3 linked regions of the Saccharomyces cerevisiae S288C genome follow. The protein of the gene in region 1 binds, or shares a complex with, the protein of each later gene. Each region holds a gene or a part of one and is shown in the gene's direction. Other genes may lie near its edges. The genes, in order: MRPL51, MRPL20 and MRPL50.

Region 1 (2,673 bases):
AGTTAATTTGTAGAGATGATATCGATATTGATGTCAAACTTTTGAAAGTTCAAGTTAATAATGTTCTTAATAAAAAGATTGGTGCGAGAAAAATCTATAAGAAGTTGTTAGATTTGAAGGTTAAACAAGGTACTAAACAAAATAACAAACACGCTGCTGGCATACTTCAAAAGAATTGGAGTGACATAAACTCCTTGGTTATGCCATCCAGCTCTGGATCTTTTGGACTTGGAGATGGTGATTTGGTGGATTTGGATCTCGATACAGGTGATTACGATTTTTTACATAAAGAGAATGAAGTTGAATTAGAAAAGCAATACAAAGATTTATTGAATCTTGTTGTTGATGAAAGTGAAATTGATAAATTGAGATCTCAAGTTTTCGCACAGGAATTAAAAAATTATTTAGAAGCTCAAATTGCTAAAAAGTAGGCCCTTTCTAGTATCTCCTTTATTCGTTTTTATTCGTTACGATTTTCCGGCTTAATAATATAGGATTGCTAGGTCTATATATAAGAAAAGCTTGTAGAAATAAAAAAATAGAAAAAACTTCAAGATAAATATTGTTCTCTTTTATTTTAAGATCCTACAAACAGCACAATTCCCCTTTTAGTTATTTTTAGCCAAGATCAGGATAGCAGAGAACTGAGTCCCTTATTCTTTAATTGAGGGTCAAAAAATTCCGATTGCGAACTTCATCTCCACCTTGGCAAAGGAATGACGAAAAAATGATCTTGCATATATATATTTACTTGTAAAATAATTATTTTGGAATTTTTCTTAACAAACCACCTGACAAACAAACACCGTACGCAAGCATCCCGCAAACATTAGAAAGATTGAACAAAAGACTCAATCCGTGCGACTTGCCAAATTCTTTACGTAATATAGCATCCTTTGCTTCCAATTCACTACCCGTGTATTTCTTCGCAATATTCTTTCTTTGTTCTTTAACTTTATGGGTCCAGGGCAACAACCAAAACAAATTGGTTAGCCCACTGACAGATGCAACCACCAAAGAAGATAATGGTCCTGTTGTCAAGGCAATTGGAGCGGTAAGGGCCAGGATGACAGGTGATGCCGCTTGCATTTGGAAAAAATACGGGAAGATCTTATTTTGCAAAGCAGAAAATTGGTCTTTTTCAAGAACTTTGAATGCGATTGGAGAAGCTACATAGGAATAAAACGTCGTTCCTCCAAATCTGAAAGATTAAGTTGGTACATAAAAGTTGTTAGTCAGTTATTCTCAATTAATCATAATTGTTCAAATTTTTTCTTGTGTCTTAATCTGTACATACACAAAGGAATAAAAAAGCAAATGAGCCGTAGTTTTGACTAAACACATTTTTCGTTGTTAAGTTTACTGGACTGTAAAGCGTAGTTTGATCTGCCTATATCATCAAACAACTCCATTTAACTCCCTTAAATAATACTATTCTTTTCTGTAAGTTTATCGCACTATACGTTACGGTGCTTTCCGTCTTTTTCGGATGAGGGATGCTCATAAGAATTACAACAAATCATAAGCCCTGAGATAAAAAAGATCAATCAATACGATTATCATAAACCATGACTAAGTAGATACACAGACACGAATATATGGAGAAATGGTTGTGAAAGCTATTGCACGAAATTCCATAGGTCGTAATGGAGTTGGAGCATTCGTGTTTCCATGCAGAAAGATTACTTTGCAATTCTGTAACTGGGGAGGGTCTTCGGAAGGCATGAGGAAATTTTTGACTTCAAAGAGATTAGATAAATGGGGCCAGGAGTTCCCATGGATACAGTTTGAAGTGATGAGGAAGTCTGGACATCCTTTGTTGAGGGCAGAATACACAAATGGGCGTGAAAAAGTTATTTGTGTGAGAAACTTGAACATTGACAATGTAGAAAACAAGCTAAAGCTATTGAAGGATTCTGATGGAGACATTTTACGCAGAAGAACAAAGAATGATAACGTGGAAAGCTTGAACAGTAGTGTGAGGGGTATATGGTCGCCTCTGCATGCTGCGAAAAGGCATAGAATTTAGCTTTAGTATATAAGAAAATTCTAGAAATAGAGAGAGATAATTATACTTGTATATATAATTTGGGGCAGATAAGACTCCTGATATTTAAGATTTAAAGTCAATTTTGCCATTGTTATATGATCATGTCCTGAAATATGACCTCTTGTATTTGGTTACCCGCTTTACACCCTGCAAATCACACTAGTCTAATAAATATGGAATAAGACTGAAACATATAAAAGATGTAACTTCTAGGATATCTGAAAGAGCAACCGTACGGTATTCAACGTTTAGATTTGATGGACGGCCTTAGCTTTGTTGATAAAGGGAAAATACCAGATGGTTACAAAAATGAAATAGATCAATTAGTAAAGAAGGAATTTGCGAATATAAAAAGAGAGCCTGTTCATCCCGAAATACGAGGTATACTTGCGAAGAGAAAGGGGGCCGATAATAGTGTTTCTACGCTTACAAATGCATTGTACACCGAATACTTGAAACAACGTAATAACAAAAAAAGGCGAACACCGGATTTTAATGACGACGATGATACTTTATTTTTGGAAGAGTATAGAAGGAAATACCCGAGGATTGATACTTCCAGATACATACCGAACGAGTCTTCCGAAGTTAGCTTGTTAGGAATTGTAGATTCTTATTTAAAA
Region 2 (3,253 bases), on another chromosome or scaffold:
CAATGACATATCTAATACCTTTAATGGTCAATGAAGTCTCTGCAATATTTGTCGCAATTATAATTTTCCTTTTAGTGCCATGTAGATCCTGAAAAATTTTGAATTGCAAATCTGCAGGTAAAGCCGAGTAGATTGGTAAAATTTCAATATCATTGATCTCTTCAAAGTTTGCGGTACCAAACTTTTTAGAATATACTTGCAAAAACTTTTCTTGCAGAGTGTCGAACGTTGTTTCAATATCTTCTTGACCTGTCATGAAAATGAGAATATCACCGCTTGAACAATCGTTTGCTAAATGAATTTTCACAGCCTGAGAAACTGCAGCTTCTACGTAGTCTTGAACAGGGTTGGAAGTATATATGGTCTGTACGGGGAAAGTTCTTCCAGGAATTGTGAACTGAGGAGCATTACCAAAAAATGCGGAGAACTTCTTCGCATTCATTGTTGCTGAAGTGATTATGAGTTTTAGATCTCTTCTACGTGCTAATAAAATCTTGAAAAAACCTAGTAAAATGTCTGTATTTAATGACCTTTCATGAGCTTCATCAATAATAACACACGAATATTTATCGAGTGTATCATCCAATAAGGTCTCTCTGAGTAGAATACCATCCGTTACAAACTTAAGTTTTGTACACTCAGAATCCGTCACATCTTCAAACCTTATAGAATAGCCTACTTCCTTACCCAATGGAACTTGCATTTCCATTGCAACCCTTTTTGCAACGGATATGGCTGCTACTCTTCTCGGCTGTGTGACAACAATAGATTTCCCCCTATCGTTGGCATATCCTTCTTCATATAAATACTGTGCAAGTTGCGTGGTTTTACCTGAGCCCGTTTCACCAATTATCACCACTACTTGATTTTCTCTTATCAATGATAACAATTGAGATCTGCAGCGGAAAACAGGCAGTTGCTCTTTAGTATGTTTAATGTCATCTTTTGATGGCGTGAAAAGAGCTGTATCGTCGCAAATCTTTTGGTTGCTCTTATCTTTTGCTTTATTGTTATTCTCCAAGCCTAGTACTTCCCCCATGGCAGTGTTCAAAACAGTGGTGTTGTCTCGAGATTGTTGAATATGTTCCATGTTTATCCTTCTCAAGGCAACCAGCTTACTACCTCGTTTGGCGTTCGCAGAAAATTCACTGTCAGGATTCCTAAATGGATTCACCATTGATAAAGCGGATACTTGGCTGGACGTCTCAGAGATGGACCCGATAATTATGGAAGTGGGCACTTTGTTTTCAAGAGCAAACTTTGATAAAAAAGGAGGGATCCATTCCATTCTTTGCTTGAGTGGTATGGGGTATAATTGAACGGTATTTCGTAAGGCATCATCGTTGTCGATATTCCTAATGACAGGTAGTAGTTTCGCTTCCTCAGGCAATTCAGACAGAGGTTCAGGCACCAAATTTCCATAATCATCATCATTATCATACCATTCTCTGTCCTCCTCAACTACTTCGCTTCGAGTCGGTTCATAGTCCTTCGTTTCAGCATGACCATTCTGTGTTTGCTGTTCACTATTTGGAGAAGGATCCTTCACGGTGGGCGAATACTGCCTCAACTGTTTGGCCTTTAGTTTATCTATTCTCTTGAACAACGTCCGTGTAGGTGCTGGTTTTTTTTGAACTGGAGAATCTAGCTCATCTTCATTATCGTCAAGGTCTAACTGGATCTTAAATTTCTTTCTCTTATTTATAGAAGGGGCGATTTTCTTTGGGCCTGTCGAGTCCTCTTCAGATTTATTCTTGAGGAGCTCCAGAAGTTCATTAAAAATGATTGGATTGTTACTGCTGAGTTTCGTCAAAGCTTTACAGCTGGCAATAAACTGTTCTAGATTAGTATTCGGCTTTTGCGCTAGTTTCTGCAGTGTCAAAAGCAACCCAGGCGTTAGTTCTTTTGACGTAAGTTCCTTAAATATGTCTTTTATCCTTTCCTCACGCCCCGAATGACCCATACCAGAGGTATTTGTATTGTCTTTGGGCCTTCTTGTGTTTTATCATCTGCAGTCATCTCATGAATTTTTCAGCTTTCACCGCTTTTATTATTTGAGAAAATAGAAAAGAGGGCAAAAAGAGATACTTTCAACAAGTTAAAATGGAAAATTAAAGACAAAGTAAAATAGCACAAGAATGATTGGCAGAGGTGTGTGCTGCAGATCGTTCCACACTGCTGGATCTGCCTGGAAGCAATTTGGATTTCCCAAAACACAAGTGACAACGATTTACAACAAGACTAAGAGCGCATCTAACTATAAAGGGTATTTAAAGCACAGAGATGCTCCAGGAATGTACTATCAACCATCAGAATCCATCGCAACCGGATCTGTTAACAGTGAGACCATTCCACGTAGCTTTATGGCAGCCAGTGACCCTCGTAGAGGGCTTGACATGCCTGTTCAAAGCACTAAAGCGAAGCAGTGTCCAAATGTTCTCGTAGGTAAGAGCACAGTGAACGGCAAAACCTATCATCTGGGACCTCAAGAAATTGATGAGATCCGGAAGTTACGTCTTGACAATCCTCAAAAGTATACACGCAAATTTTTGGCTGCAAAATATGGCATTTCGCCATTATTTGTATCCATGGTCTCGAAACCTAGTGAACAACATGTACAAATTATGGAAAGTAGATTGCAAGAAATCCAATCACGCTGGAAGGAGAAGAGGCGTATAGCCAGAGAGGACCGTAAGCGTAGAAAACTCCTGTGGTACCAGGCGTGAATGCTATATAAATATAATAACAATCGTGTAAATACTACTCTATAAGTACTTCGTATTCATATATTGATCACAATGCACGGAGACGCCCATTAATGTGACTTGAATATACCACATGAAAGCTAACCAATAAGCAATTTAAAAAGAGTTAAGTACAGCTTGGAGACACCCAAAGGCTTCTGCTTCGACAACTATTGACTATCGAGATGGCTTACAGTGACTACAGCGATGGAGCAGACGACATGCCGGACTTTCACGACGAAGGTGAATTTGATGATTATTTGAATGACGATGAATATGATCTAATGAACGAGGTATTTCCTACTCTAAAGGCGCAGTTACAGGATTACCAAGGCTGGGATAATCTTTCACTTAAGCTAGCTTTGTTTGACAACAATTTCGATTTGGAAAGCACGCTGGCGGAATTGAAGAAAACTTTGAAGAAGAAGAAGACACCAAAGAAGCCAATTGCTGCTGCTAATGGGAGTGCGAATGTTACTCAAAAACTGGCAAACATCTCAATTTCGCAA
Region 3 (2,732 bases), on another chromosome or scaffold:
CCTGTAAAGCTATCTTGGGTTTGATTTGTTCCAATTCCCTGGCATTTTCATTCAATTCAGCAGCCCCAATTTGACTTTCTCTTTGTGTATTATTGAATTTTAGAGCGTTGACATCAGGTACTTCAATATCAAGAACCAACTCACCATAAGTGGAAGCTTTATCAACGCGTACTGTGTAATCAATTTCAATTGGCTGTAATGGGAGCAGGTGAGTACTATTAATAAGGGACAGTAAATCCGTTAATTTCATTGTATCTGGAGAAGATTCTTTAAGACTGCTGGGTAATAAGGTAATAAGCTGAGTGTCTAATTTTACAATAGAAACTTGACTGGAGGCTGCATCAAGCATCTTACTAGTACTGGTGTTGCTATTGTGATTGTTCCTGTTGCCCATCAAATTTTCGAATGCAGACTCATCATTGGTAAGCAATTCATTTAAATGGATGTATTTATATATGGAAAATATTGCATCATGTGATGTACCGCTCTTCAATCCTATTATTGCGGTTAGTTGTGGAGAGTAGCTCATAAATGGCTCTTCTGGGGATGATTTTCGCAGGATGCTTATAGTGCATTCTACATTTTCAGACCCTACCCTCTTAATATCGAGACCATCGAAGTCTACAGGATTATTCGGGTCATACTGCCATTTCACTGATTCTAGTTTTGGAGTTGTAGAACTCATATCCTTTTTGGCAGTCTCCTCCCCCATCGTGGCATTATTTTGGTCGGTATTAGTCGTAGTAGAGTTGTCACCATTCGGCAGTGAAAATTGTAACGGTAAGTTTAAGTTCAATTTCTTATCACTGGGTCCTTCGGTGGCATTTTCTTCAGGGGCCGCATTAAATTTAGTCGATGGCACATTATCGTTTTCCTTATTTTTGAAGTCTACCACTATCGATTCTATGAATGAGCTAAATTTTTCTCTTGCTGGATCATTAGCTTGCACATTGTCCAATAATCGACCTTCGATTCTCATCGTCCAAGTGGCATTCTCCAGTGCCATAAGGTCAGCCTCATTGTTTGTGTCCATTTGCCAGGGTTGGTTTTCACTAACATTTGAAATGAAGATTCGGAGAAATTTTACATTTGGAAAATTTAAATGAGGATAAAGAAACTCTTGGGATAGCTTTGACCTCTCCCACTGCGCAACCATTCGCTTCATATGTAAGTTTCGCAGATGAATAAAATGATCTAATCTTTTCTCGGAATCCACCAGTTGTTGGAAAGAATACAGCTCAGGAATCAATTCGGCTAAATGGTCAGGGATAACCATATCTGATGGATGAGAATGTGGCACTGTTGGCGTAATTTGAGAAGCATTATTTGCTTTATCTTGGTTCACCGGATCCTTTTTCTTTGCATGAAAGAAATTTTTAGTATCAGGTGTGGCTGCTTTTGAACTCTTTCTAGAACCTTTTCCGTTGCTGGGTTTCATTACTTTGGACATGGTTCAATCCGTTAGATCTCTGTTTGACAGCTTTAGAGTTGTCTTATTTTGTTTTTGGTTTAATACATCCACGTTATTTTGTATTTTTTTTGTTTATTATTGCAAGTTTTTAGTTCATTTGTTCTTTCCGATGAAAAAGCAAACTCAAAGGGCAGTTAAGTTACGTTATACCGTAAGGAATATAAAAGGCTAACTAAATAACGAACGAAACAGGTCGACCAAAGATGCTACATTGCACCCAGGTGTGTCTGAGCGCTCTGACAAAGAGAACCCACAGGGTCAAGGTTCAAGTCCTGAAGGATTTCCCGCGATTTCAATTATATAAAGGACAAGTTGCAAATGTCAAACCATCTTTAATGAGAAACTATTTACATAACTTCAATGGTGCAAAATACATACTCAGCGAAGAACACGACATAAATACGGAACTGTTAAAACAATACCAAACACTTGAGGCAAAGCTAGAGGAAGACCATCAACAGCTCTCTAAACGCCATGAAACGGAAGTTCAAAAGAACATGGAGTTACGTAAAGAATCTGTTTTTGGCCACAAGAAAGAAGAGAAGCCAAAAGAGGAAAAGAAGGGATTATTGGATTCTGGGATTACTATCGAAGAGGTTAAGATCCCCGGTCTTGACATTTGATTGGTAAAGAGTATGTATTCAGATAGCGTACAATCTTGTATATAGGCAACATCGCAATTCAAAACACCACATACCAATTTACATACTTACTATTTAAATGTATGGATACATGGAAAACGTTCGTATACAAAAACTGAAGAGGTTCAGAAAATTATAAGGAGGAAAGAAGAACAAAGTGGTTCTTACTGAAATCTTGTTCTTTGCTTGTTTTTGAGACGTCTTTCTCTTTTCTCTTTCATTTTTTGATCTACCTTTTCTTGTTGACCAGAGGCCTTCAATTGACGTCTTTTGGCTTTTTCCAATTCTAATTTCTTCTCCTTTGCCAATTCCAATTCAGTTTCTTTCATAAACTTTTTGATCTTGTTCAGTTCTTGCTGACGCAAGTTGGTAGTTCTTTTCAAGATGTCGTTGGTAATGAATAAGTTTGGAGACTGTTGGACTAAATCTTGAGTGAACCCATCGTAGATTTCTACGACTAAGGAAATAATTTGGTTTAACAACTTCAATTCATTCTCATTTTGGGGAACAGCGCAACGAATGATAGCCTTTGGTTCAATTGAAGATTCCCATTCTTTATCATCGCGTGGCGGGTTGACAGGCAAATCGGTGAAACTTATATATTTCAAAAGATTACCAGC

The links.
Region 2: MRPL51 (region 1) and MRPL20 share a complex: the UniProt entries of both Saccharomyces cerevisiae proteins name them as parts of the mitochondrial large ribosomal subunit.
Region 3: MRPL51 (region 1) and MRPL50 share a complex: the UniProt entries of both Saccharomyces cerevisiae proteins name them as parts of the mitochondrial large ribosomal subunit.

The regions. Positions count from the first base shown.
Region 1 is NC_001148.4:728,185-730,857, forward strand, and holds MRPL51 (mitochondrial 54S ribosomal protein mL43 MRPL51), read left to right. Parts: upstream 1-1,606; coding exon 1,607-2,029; downstream 2,030-2,673. Other genes in the region: LEC1 (Lec1p), read left to right, coding at 1-431; TMH18 (Tmh18p), read right to left, coding at 763-1,201, 1,298-1,344; YPR099C (uncharacterized protein), read right to left, coding at 1,573-1,929; SNT309 (Snt309p), read left to right, coding at 2,308-2,673. UniProt on the Saccharomyces cerevisiae protein: Component of the mitochondrial ribosome (mitoribosome), a dedicated translation machinery responsible for the synthesis of mitochondrial genome-encoded proteins, including at least some of the essential transmembrane subunits of the mitochondrial respiratory chain.
Region 2 is NC_001143.9:598,567-601,819, reverse strand, and holds MRPL20 (mitochondrial 54S ribosomal protein mL58 MRPL20), read left to right. Parts: upstream 1-2,138; coding exon 2,139-2,726; downstream 2,727-3,253. Other genes in the region: DEAH-box RNA helicase PRP16, read right to left, coding at 1-1,963; ribosome dissociation factor GTPase HBS1, read left to right, coding at 2,930-3,253. UniProt on the Saccharomyces cerevisiae protein: Component of the mitochondrial ribosome (mitoribosome), a dedicated translation machinery responsible for the synthesis of mitochondrial genome-encoded proteins, including at least some of the essential transmembrane subunits of the mitochondrial respiratory chain.
Region 3 is NC_001146.8:669,136-671,867, reverse strand, and holds MRPL50 (mitochondrial 54S ribosomal protein bL9m MRPL50), read left to right. Parts: upstream 1-1,674; coding exon 1,675-2,094; downstream 2,095-2,732. Other genes in the region: SNF12 (Snf12p), read right to left, coding at 1-1,450; YNR021W (uncharacterized protein), read right to left, coding at 2,277-2,732. UniProt on the Saccharomyces cerevisiae protein: Component of the mitochondrial ribosome (mitoribosome), a dedicated translation machinery responsible for the synthesis of mitochondrial genome-encoded proteins, including at least some of the essential transmembrane subunits of the mitochondrial respiratory chain.